2 linked regions of the Alligator mississippiensis genome follow. The protein of the gene in region 1 interacts with the protein of each later gene in a biochemical or structural test. Links are inferred from orthologs where the notes say so. Each region holds a gene or a part of one and is shown on either strand. Other genes may lie near its edges.

Evidence for each region.
Region 2: the proteins of TJP1 (region 1) and CGN form a complex in vitro, tested with the Homo sapiens proteins (2 studies listed by BioGRID and IntAct, with this or other methods). The link is inferred for Alligator mississippiensis from reciprocal best matches to the Homo sapiens genes TJP1 and CGN.

The regions. Positions count from the first base shown.
Region 1 is NC_081834.1:36,584,651-36,588,562, reverse strand, and holds the start of TJP1 (tight junction protein ZO-1), read left to right. Parts: upstream 1-1,435; 5' UTR 1,436-1,450; coding exon 1,451-1,617; intron 1,618-3,912. UniProt on the Homo sapiens protein: TJP1, TJP2, and TJP3 are closely related scaffolding proteins that link tight junction (TJ) transmembrane proteins such as claudins, junctional adhesion molecules, and occludin to the actin cytoskeleton.
Region 2 is NC_081838.1:19,748,644-19,752,555, reverse strand, and holds the start of CGN (cingulin), read left to right. Parts: upstream 1-1,306; 5' UTR 1,307-1,389; intron 1,390-3,912. UniProt on the Homo sapiens protein: Probably plays a role in the formation and regulation of the tight junction (TJ) paracellular permeability barrier.

The sequences.
Region 1 (3,912 bases):
TTGTTCGTGCAATTTGCAATATATGGTACAAAATTGTCACTTCTGCATTCATGGAGATTGGTGACACACACCTTGCGAAATGTATGCACATTGAAATAACATAGGGGCAGTCGAATGAACTGTTGTGGCAACTGATATTTTAAGGAGTCAATTTCAAACCATCTCTGGTAATAATCTTGAGAACATGGGTAGCAAAACCTCTGCTGAAGAGCTGTAATTCTGGAGTGCTGCTTCCCAGTATTCATATGAGAGCATCTTTCCTGGGAAGGTTCAAAAGGATTTTTTTTTATTATTGTTAGTAGTAGTAGTAGTAAGGGTATCATGTTATGTTATGTTAGGTCTTCACTGCTTTGTGTGGACATTAAAGATGTTTTTGAGCTTGTTGAGAGGAGGTGGGTTTGTTCTGGTAGCGCTAGTCACAACATCTAGTATTGGTGGTCAGCTGGGTACTGCTCTCCCCCCAAGAGGCAAGTGCACCTCACTGCTTCTGTGTGTCAAGGCTGGTACATCAGTACACTGCACGCAACTTAAATTTGGGGTGTGCTGAGGCTGAAAGGACAGGGCACTTGGTTTTTAATAGTGAACTTGGGGTTGAATGGTACCAACAATTTAAGACTGCATTAGTATCCATCTTGTGCCCATGCCCCACCACTTGATCATGCTTTTTTATTTCCTCCAGCATGACCAAAGTGGTGGCACCTATAGAAACGCCCCCCCCCCCCCCCCCCCCCCCCCGCGCATATAACTGAACAAGGTGGATTCACTTCAGTCCTTGCTGCCACTTGGGAGAATGGAGAGCGGCGCTTGTGTCCTTCAGGCCGTTGGTCTGGGAGCTGTGCAGGGGAGGCGCCGGCTCTGCCGCTTGAGGAGGCGCGGGGGGACCCCAAGTCCGTCTGCGCGGGACAGGACGGGACGGGACGGGACGGGACAGCTCCCGGCTCAGGCCCGCCACAGCCCCAGCCCCAGCCGTGGTGGGGGGCGCCGCGCGGGAAGGAAATAACGCGGGGCTATTCTCGGCACTAAGGAGCTTGGACGAGCGGGGGCCGAGCCGCAGGGCAGCGAGAGGGGGCGAGGGCAGAGCCATGGGGGCGGCCGCAGGTGCGGGCGAGAGGAGAGGAGCTCCGCCTCACGGCGCGGCGGGAGGAGAGGAGCGCGGAGGGGACGGGAGGGGAGGGGAGGGGAGGAGGCGGTGGCGGTAGCGGTGGCGGCGGCGGCGCGGGCGGGAGATGCCCCGCGCTCGGGGGCGGAGGAGGCCGCGTCAGCGGGGGGCAGCGCGGGAGGAGGAGGAGGAGGAGGAGGAGGCGGCGTGAGCCGGGGGAGCGCGGAGCAGGCGGCGGCGGCGGCGGCGGCGGCGGCGGAGGAGGAGGAGCAGGAGCGGCGGCAGGCGGGGGAGAGCGGCAGGCGCGAGGCAGGGCCGGCAGATGCCTGGGAATCACCATCGGATGGTTGCATGCAGCGGCTGGAGAGACTCTGTCGGTGGCGGCGGCGGGGACGAGGCAGGGACCGGGGGAGCGACGGCAAAATGAAGTACCAGAAATACCTGACGGTCTTGCAGATGGCCATCGGGGTGACCGCCTCCAACCGCGGCAGCCTCATGCCCCTCAAGCGGAAGCTGTGGTGAGTAGGCGCGGGGCGATGCGGGGCGGCCGGCTGCGCTGCCGCAGGGCCATGGCGGCGGGCGCGGGAGGGAGCTGTCCAGTGCCGCCGCCGCCGCCGCCGCCTGCGGCATCGCGGGCACCGCCGGGCGGGCGGGCGGGCGGGCCGGCGCGGGTCCCGGACACCGTGGCAGCGCCTTCCGCCACGGGCCCCGGGGGCAAGCCTGGCTCGTGCTCCGCTGCGCCTTGCCCCGCTCGCACCTCCCAAGGCTGCCTCCCTCGGGCTCGGGCTCGGGCTCGGGCTCGCACTCGGGGGTCCGCCTGGGGCTCGCCTGTGTGAGCAGGAGATGCCTCTGCCCTACGCACATGGGCATCTCGCACCGTTACCTCTGTCTCTCATGCTCGGGTAGATGAGTGTGGGAGAGAGATCCCAGTGCCAGATGGATACATCTTAATCTCACACTCAGGTGTGTGTGTGTGTGTGTGTGTGTGTGTGTGTGATACTCTGGTATCTATCTCTCTATCTCATACTCTTATCTCTCTATCCATCTATCTATCTATCTCATACTGATAACTCTCATATATCAGGGTACGAGATCTGTATAGCTCATACTTGGACATCTATTTCATACTCTTACATATCTAGCTCACCCACATGCTCCTATACCTATCTCATACTCATACATTTAAAGCCACAATTGACTCGGCACACATACGAATCTCCAAAAAGGAAGATCCAATATGTGGCTTCGATACGGTTAAAAAAAAATAACCTTTCTGTGCACCTCGTTTCCACTGGCCTTTGTGGTTTTCTGGTCAGTGAGCTGAACTGATTTCTGGAGGAATCAAAAATCCATGTTATGGAAAATATACTGTGAAGTGTCACTTTGTAAAATGTGGGCAAGGGCATCAAGCAACAGATGGCATTGCACTGTCCAGTCACTCTTTTTGACTTGGAAGGGACTGCTATCAGTTTGATTGAAGCAGTAGGACACATGTCATTGTCAGAACAAATAATATTAAGGAGGAAAAGTCACGTGGCTACAAAGATAAATATTCTGGGGAAAGTATCAGGATTTTCTATTGCATTTGTACAGCAGGGAAAAATGTTTACAGGACACGGAGAATGACACTTAAGCAGTAGTGGTCATACGATTGTCTGTCACTGTGGCCATGGTCACAGTGGAAGAGTGCAGAGTGTCAGAGAAAGAAGTGATTGGACATGCTGTTAAAAAAAGAAGATGACTCTAAAATGATCTGTTTTCAGGAGCAGCGTCTTGTCACAATTGGCAAATAGGCTCTGTCTTGAATTGGCCTTGATTTTTATATTTATATATAACCATATATATATATATATATATATATATATATATATATATATATATATATATATATATATATGTATAATTCTTACACACTCATCCGGAACAGACAACATAACCTCCTGGACATACCTCAGAGAAGCAGAATAAAATTGCTGTAGATCTGCCATTTACTGTATTTCTTCCAGAGTTTGTCTTTTTCTTGTATGTTTCAGGATATGTAAAACTGAAGAAAAAACTATTTTTACATTTTAGTATTTTTGGATGCCATCCAGGTTTGTTAGTTGCATAACTATACTTTTATATGTGCAACTACTAAGCTTTCTGTTGTTATTATTAAATCTTATTATACCATTTGTAGAAAGCAACATGATTTAAAAAACAGAAATATTGTAATTTCCAAATTAAATTAACTGAAGCATACAAAAGCGCACAAAATATTTTCCATTACAAAAATATTCTTTCATATGGATAACTTTGGTTAAATTCAGAAAACCCACTTTTGTACTGTATAAAGTACCAAGTATTTGGTTTTGATATTGTCAAAACCATAACATGCCACCACCTCCACTATTCTCTCAATAATGCATTCCTTTCAGTGTACTCCTTGTGCATCTTAAACAGCAATGTGTATAAGAATATATTACTTCTTTTAAAAAATAATTATAATGTAGCTCAAATATTGACTTTTTCTGTTTTTGTCTTTTCTTGGAATCTGATCCTGTGTCCACATATTACAGTGGAACCCTGAATATGTTTCTTTTAAAAGTCACTTTGAATGGTCCTGGTCCAGCATCCTCTGAAGTTAATGAAGTCCATTGACTTCATTAAAAGTTGGATCAGGCCTACATTTTCCAACTGTATAGCCAGATTTCTCTGCTTTGTGAGGGATAGTCAAGACAATAGAGTGGATCTTAAATGATTCACAAATGTCTGAAGGAAAAATATGCTATATTCATGGAATCCATTTACATCTGCAGCACCTCTTGCCTCTG
Region 2 (3,912 bases), on another chromosome or scaffold:
CCCTGCCGGAGAGGGAATAGATCCGGTTTCAGTGCGGCCTCATCAGCTATTAATCGGTACAAAATGTTTTCCTCCCACCAACCGCTGCGTCATTCTTTCCATGGGGAGCGCTCTGCTCTGGGCCACGCGGGTCGCTGCTGCTGCATCGCCCGTCGCGCTTGACATGAGGCTGTTAACGTCTCCCACCGCGACACGGGTCTGCATCCCACGTGGAAAAGATCATAGGTGCGGCCTAATGAGAGCTCCTAGAGACCCCCGGGGGCTGGGCACTGGCACTGGTGTCATGGCGCGATGGACCATTTATGGTGGAAACGCTGGCAGGTTTCAGGGGACGGCTGAGCTGCGAGCAGGTCCGGTGCATCGTTTACCAGCCCTTGAAGTCCTGGCAACGGAGCGCAGCAGAGTGGTTGGGGGGGTCGGGGTTGATCCAGGACATTAGTCAGATCATTTTCCGTGCCTCAGTTTCCTCCTGCTATAAAATGGGTGGAATCCTTGCCTCACTTAAGGTATTGCCAGAGTAAGCAAATCGGTGGTTTCTCCAGTGCCGTGTTGCATTATTAATGCTGTGGATGCGGCAGGGGGCTTGGCGAGCCCAGACCCCCACGCGTTAGTACGAGCAGGGTGGAGGCACCCCCTTGCCCTCGGCAGCGCCAGCGCCAGGCACCCGGCTCCGGCGCGGCTCTGGGGGGCAAACGTTTCCGGGGGGGACAAGCGTCCGTGAGGCCGGCCTGTCCCCCCCCACGTCCCCTCCCCTGCTCAGGCCCAGAATTTCATCTGGTGGCTTCAGGTCTCAGGTGCTCGCGTCTCAACTCCGCGCGGGTTGGGGGGGGGAGGGTTGTGAGTTCACACGCGCGGGGGGGGGGATTGTGAGTTCACCAGTGCAAAGTGCGGGTGAGTTCATACGCGGGTGGGTGGGGATTGTGAGTTCACCAGTGCAAAGTGCGGGTGAGTTCACACGCGGGGGGGAGATTGTGAGTTCAGCAGTGCACAGGGGGGAGCAGGAGTTGTCGGGCCGGGTGCACACGCGGGGGGTGAGTCCCCCAGTGGCTGTGACCGCCCAGGGGCGCTGCGCTGTGCGGGCCCCCCCCCACGCCGGTGCCGGGAGGGGAGGGGTCAACGCGGCCCGGGTTGCCAGGAGCAACCCCCAGCCCAGCCCGGAGGGGGAGGGGTGGTGGAACACGCCCCGCCCACACCTGGGGGAGGGCGGGGCCGGGGAGCCACCCCCCAGCGGGAGTCATGTGACCCGCCCCGCCCGGCCCGGCGGCGAAGGGCGTGGCCCACTCCTAGGGGGCGTGGCCCACTCCTGGGGGCGGGGCCTGGCCGCACTGGGGGGCGGGCGGTAGGTAACAGGTTGCAGCGGGGAGCGGTCGCGGGAGCGGTCGCAGCGCGGTGAGTGCCCCCGGGGCCATGTTCTAGCCCTCGCCGAGGGCTGAGTGGACCGGACCGGACCGGACCGGACCGTACCGTGTTGCACCCCTGGCGGGTTGCGGGAGGAGCTGCTCCTTGCTCGGCAGCCTCTGGGTCCCCCCGGGCGGGCGGGCTTGGGCTGCCGGCTCCGGGCGGCGGGACGAGACGGGACGGGACGGCGGGGTCGCACCCTGCTCGCGGCAGCCCCAGCCCCAGCCCGTCGTCCCGCCGCGGGTCTGTGCAGCCCCCGGGGACGGAGACCCGGCGGCTCTGCGGAGCCCGTCCCGGTGCTTCCCCGCCTGCAGCTGGGGCCCGTCGTCCCTCGTCTGTCACCGGCCGCCCGGGCCCAGCCCGGCTCCGTGCCCGCGCGGTCTTCTCCTCTCCGGGGTCGGGACCCGCCGCCCTCTCGCCGGGACGAGCCCCAGTCCGTGCGGGGGCTCAGGGAGGACGCAGCTGGGCTGGTCTCGGCGGGGCAGGCGGAGCGATGGGCTCCAGTCGCAGACCGGGGGGGCTGAAGTTGGATATTGCGAAAAACTTCCTCCGGAGGAGGACGAAGGCGTTGGGGCTGGTCCTGCCCTGAGCAGGGGCTGGACTGGGCAGTGGTTGGTTCTCAACGTTTTTTGGACCAGGACCCACTTGTCAACATCGCTGGCCAGTGCTGGGCCGGTGCCCTTCACCTCCGACCCACTGCCCCCTACCCGCAGTGTGTGGGGAGCGGCGGGACCCCAAGCAGCTCCTCCTGGCTGCAGCTCTGCCAACCCGCAAGGGAAGAGCTGCGGTTTCCTATGTTTGTTTGTTTTTTTCTTTAAAGGAGAATTTAAAGATTGTTTGTGATCCATTCATATATTCTTACAACCCCCTTTTGGGCTGTGACCCTATGGGTTGAGAAATGCTGCCCTAGATGTGACCTCCTGAGGCCCTTCCCGCCCTCGTGCTCTAGGTTTCTGTGACTGTTGCGATGCTTCTGCCCCGACTTTGCTGCACTGGTGAATTAAAAATATTTCTCCAAGTCTTTCATGGCTGCTTGACACTAATCTCTGACCAAGTCTGGCATAAAGGTCAAGTGTCGGTGCCCAGCTGGGGGGCTGCAGGCAGTTTGGGTTCATCTTTCTGTCCTGGAAATGAATATATCTCTTTTACCCCCCAACTTTGGCACTGTTCAGCACAGACAGAATCAGAATTTGACGTGAGGTTTGTTGTCTCATGTGAAACCCCAGGTCTTGCATGTGATTAATCCTGAGTGCCAGACGGATGAATTTAGTCTCATCAGAGAAGTCTTGACCGGGCAAAACTATGTTCAGTCCCACACATCCACATGATCTCTTACTGAGGTCATGTGGGACTCTTACAGGACTGTAAAATGGGTTTAAACCCATTTCCCACTGAAGAAGTGCCACATAAGTTGTTCTAAAACTTTAATGTGGAGCTCTTAAGACGGATCGTATTCCTGCTGGTTCTGAAGGATGGTATTTTTAGCAGCCAATTTAAACTCTGTGTGGAGGGGAAGGAGATCTGAGCCTTTGATTAGTTGTTCACACTCTGCAGTTGTTTAAAACCTAACTGCTGGGCTGCAGCTCTCAAAGCTGAAGCCCCCATCTTTCTAACCACTTCTCTTCCCCCCCTGAGTTAATACTTCATGTTCAAGGCCCTGTACCAATAACTTATAGCTTTTTAAAAATATCATATCTATATCCCTATAATTGAGATGCTCTGACTTATTGTAATAAAATATATGGATGAATAAGAGTGCGCTCTGCACAGAATACACCCATCTGCTTTTGAAGGCTTGTCTGTGCCGTAGTGCACGGATTGCCTAGGCATAAATCCTGGTTTCTATCGGGAGTCTTGACAGGAGAAAGATTTCATCCCTGAGAACAATTTCATTGCTTCCCCTTGCTCTAGCTCGTGCCGTTCCATCCTTCAATGCAGTGTTGCAGCTTTTCAGAAAGAGGCACTGGGAGGCTCATTTATGTAATACAGTTGTTCTGTTGGTGGTTTCATACCATTGTAAGCCCTGGGTGATGGAGTGATCTGTGTCTGGGATCTGAGTGCTGAGAGGAGAGGCAGTGGTGGGGCCAAGAGATCTGGGTTCAGATCCTGACTCTGCCACTGACTCTGTCTACCCTTGATCAAGTTACTTAACACCTTGGGGTCATTCTTCTCCCTGGTGAGAATAAGCATGTCTTACTTACCTTGCCCTGCTAGATTGGGTTTGGCTGTAAGTGGGGCACAGCTCCTAGTACACAAGGGTTCTGACCCCTGTGGGACCTGGGGGTTAATGGTCTAATATAATCAGTCTAGTGCTTAAAATACATGTTTCCTCTTAAGAAAAATATGCCACCACATCCCCTTTCCTCTCATCTCTATCTATCGCATGAGCTGGCACCAGTGCTGAGCTTGGGATTCAGTAGGGTGTTAGGGAGGGAGAGGGATGTGGTGAGCAGAATAGCAGGCAGGGGCGATGGGGGGAAGGGTGTCTGGGCTCTGTTTTTGCAGTCTGGTTTC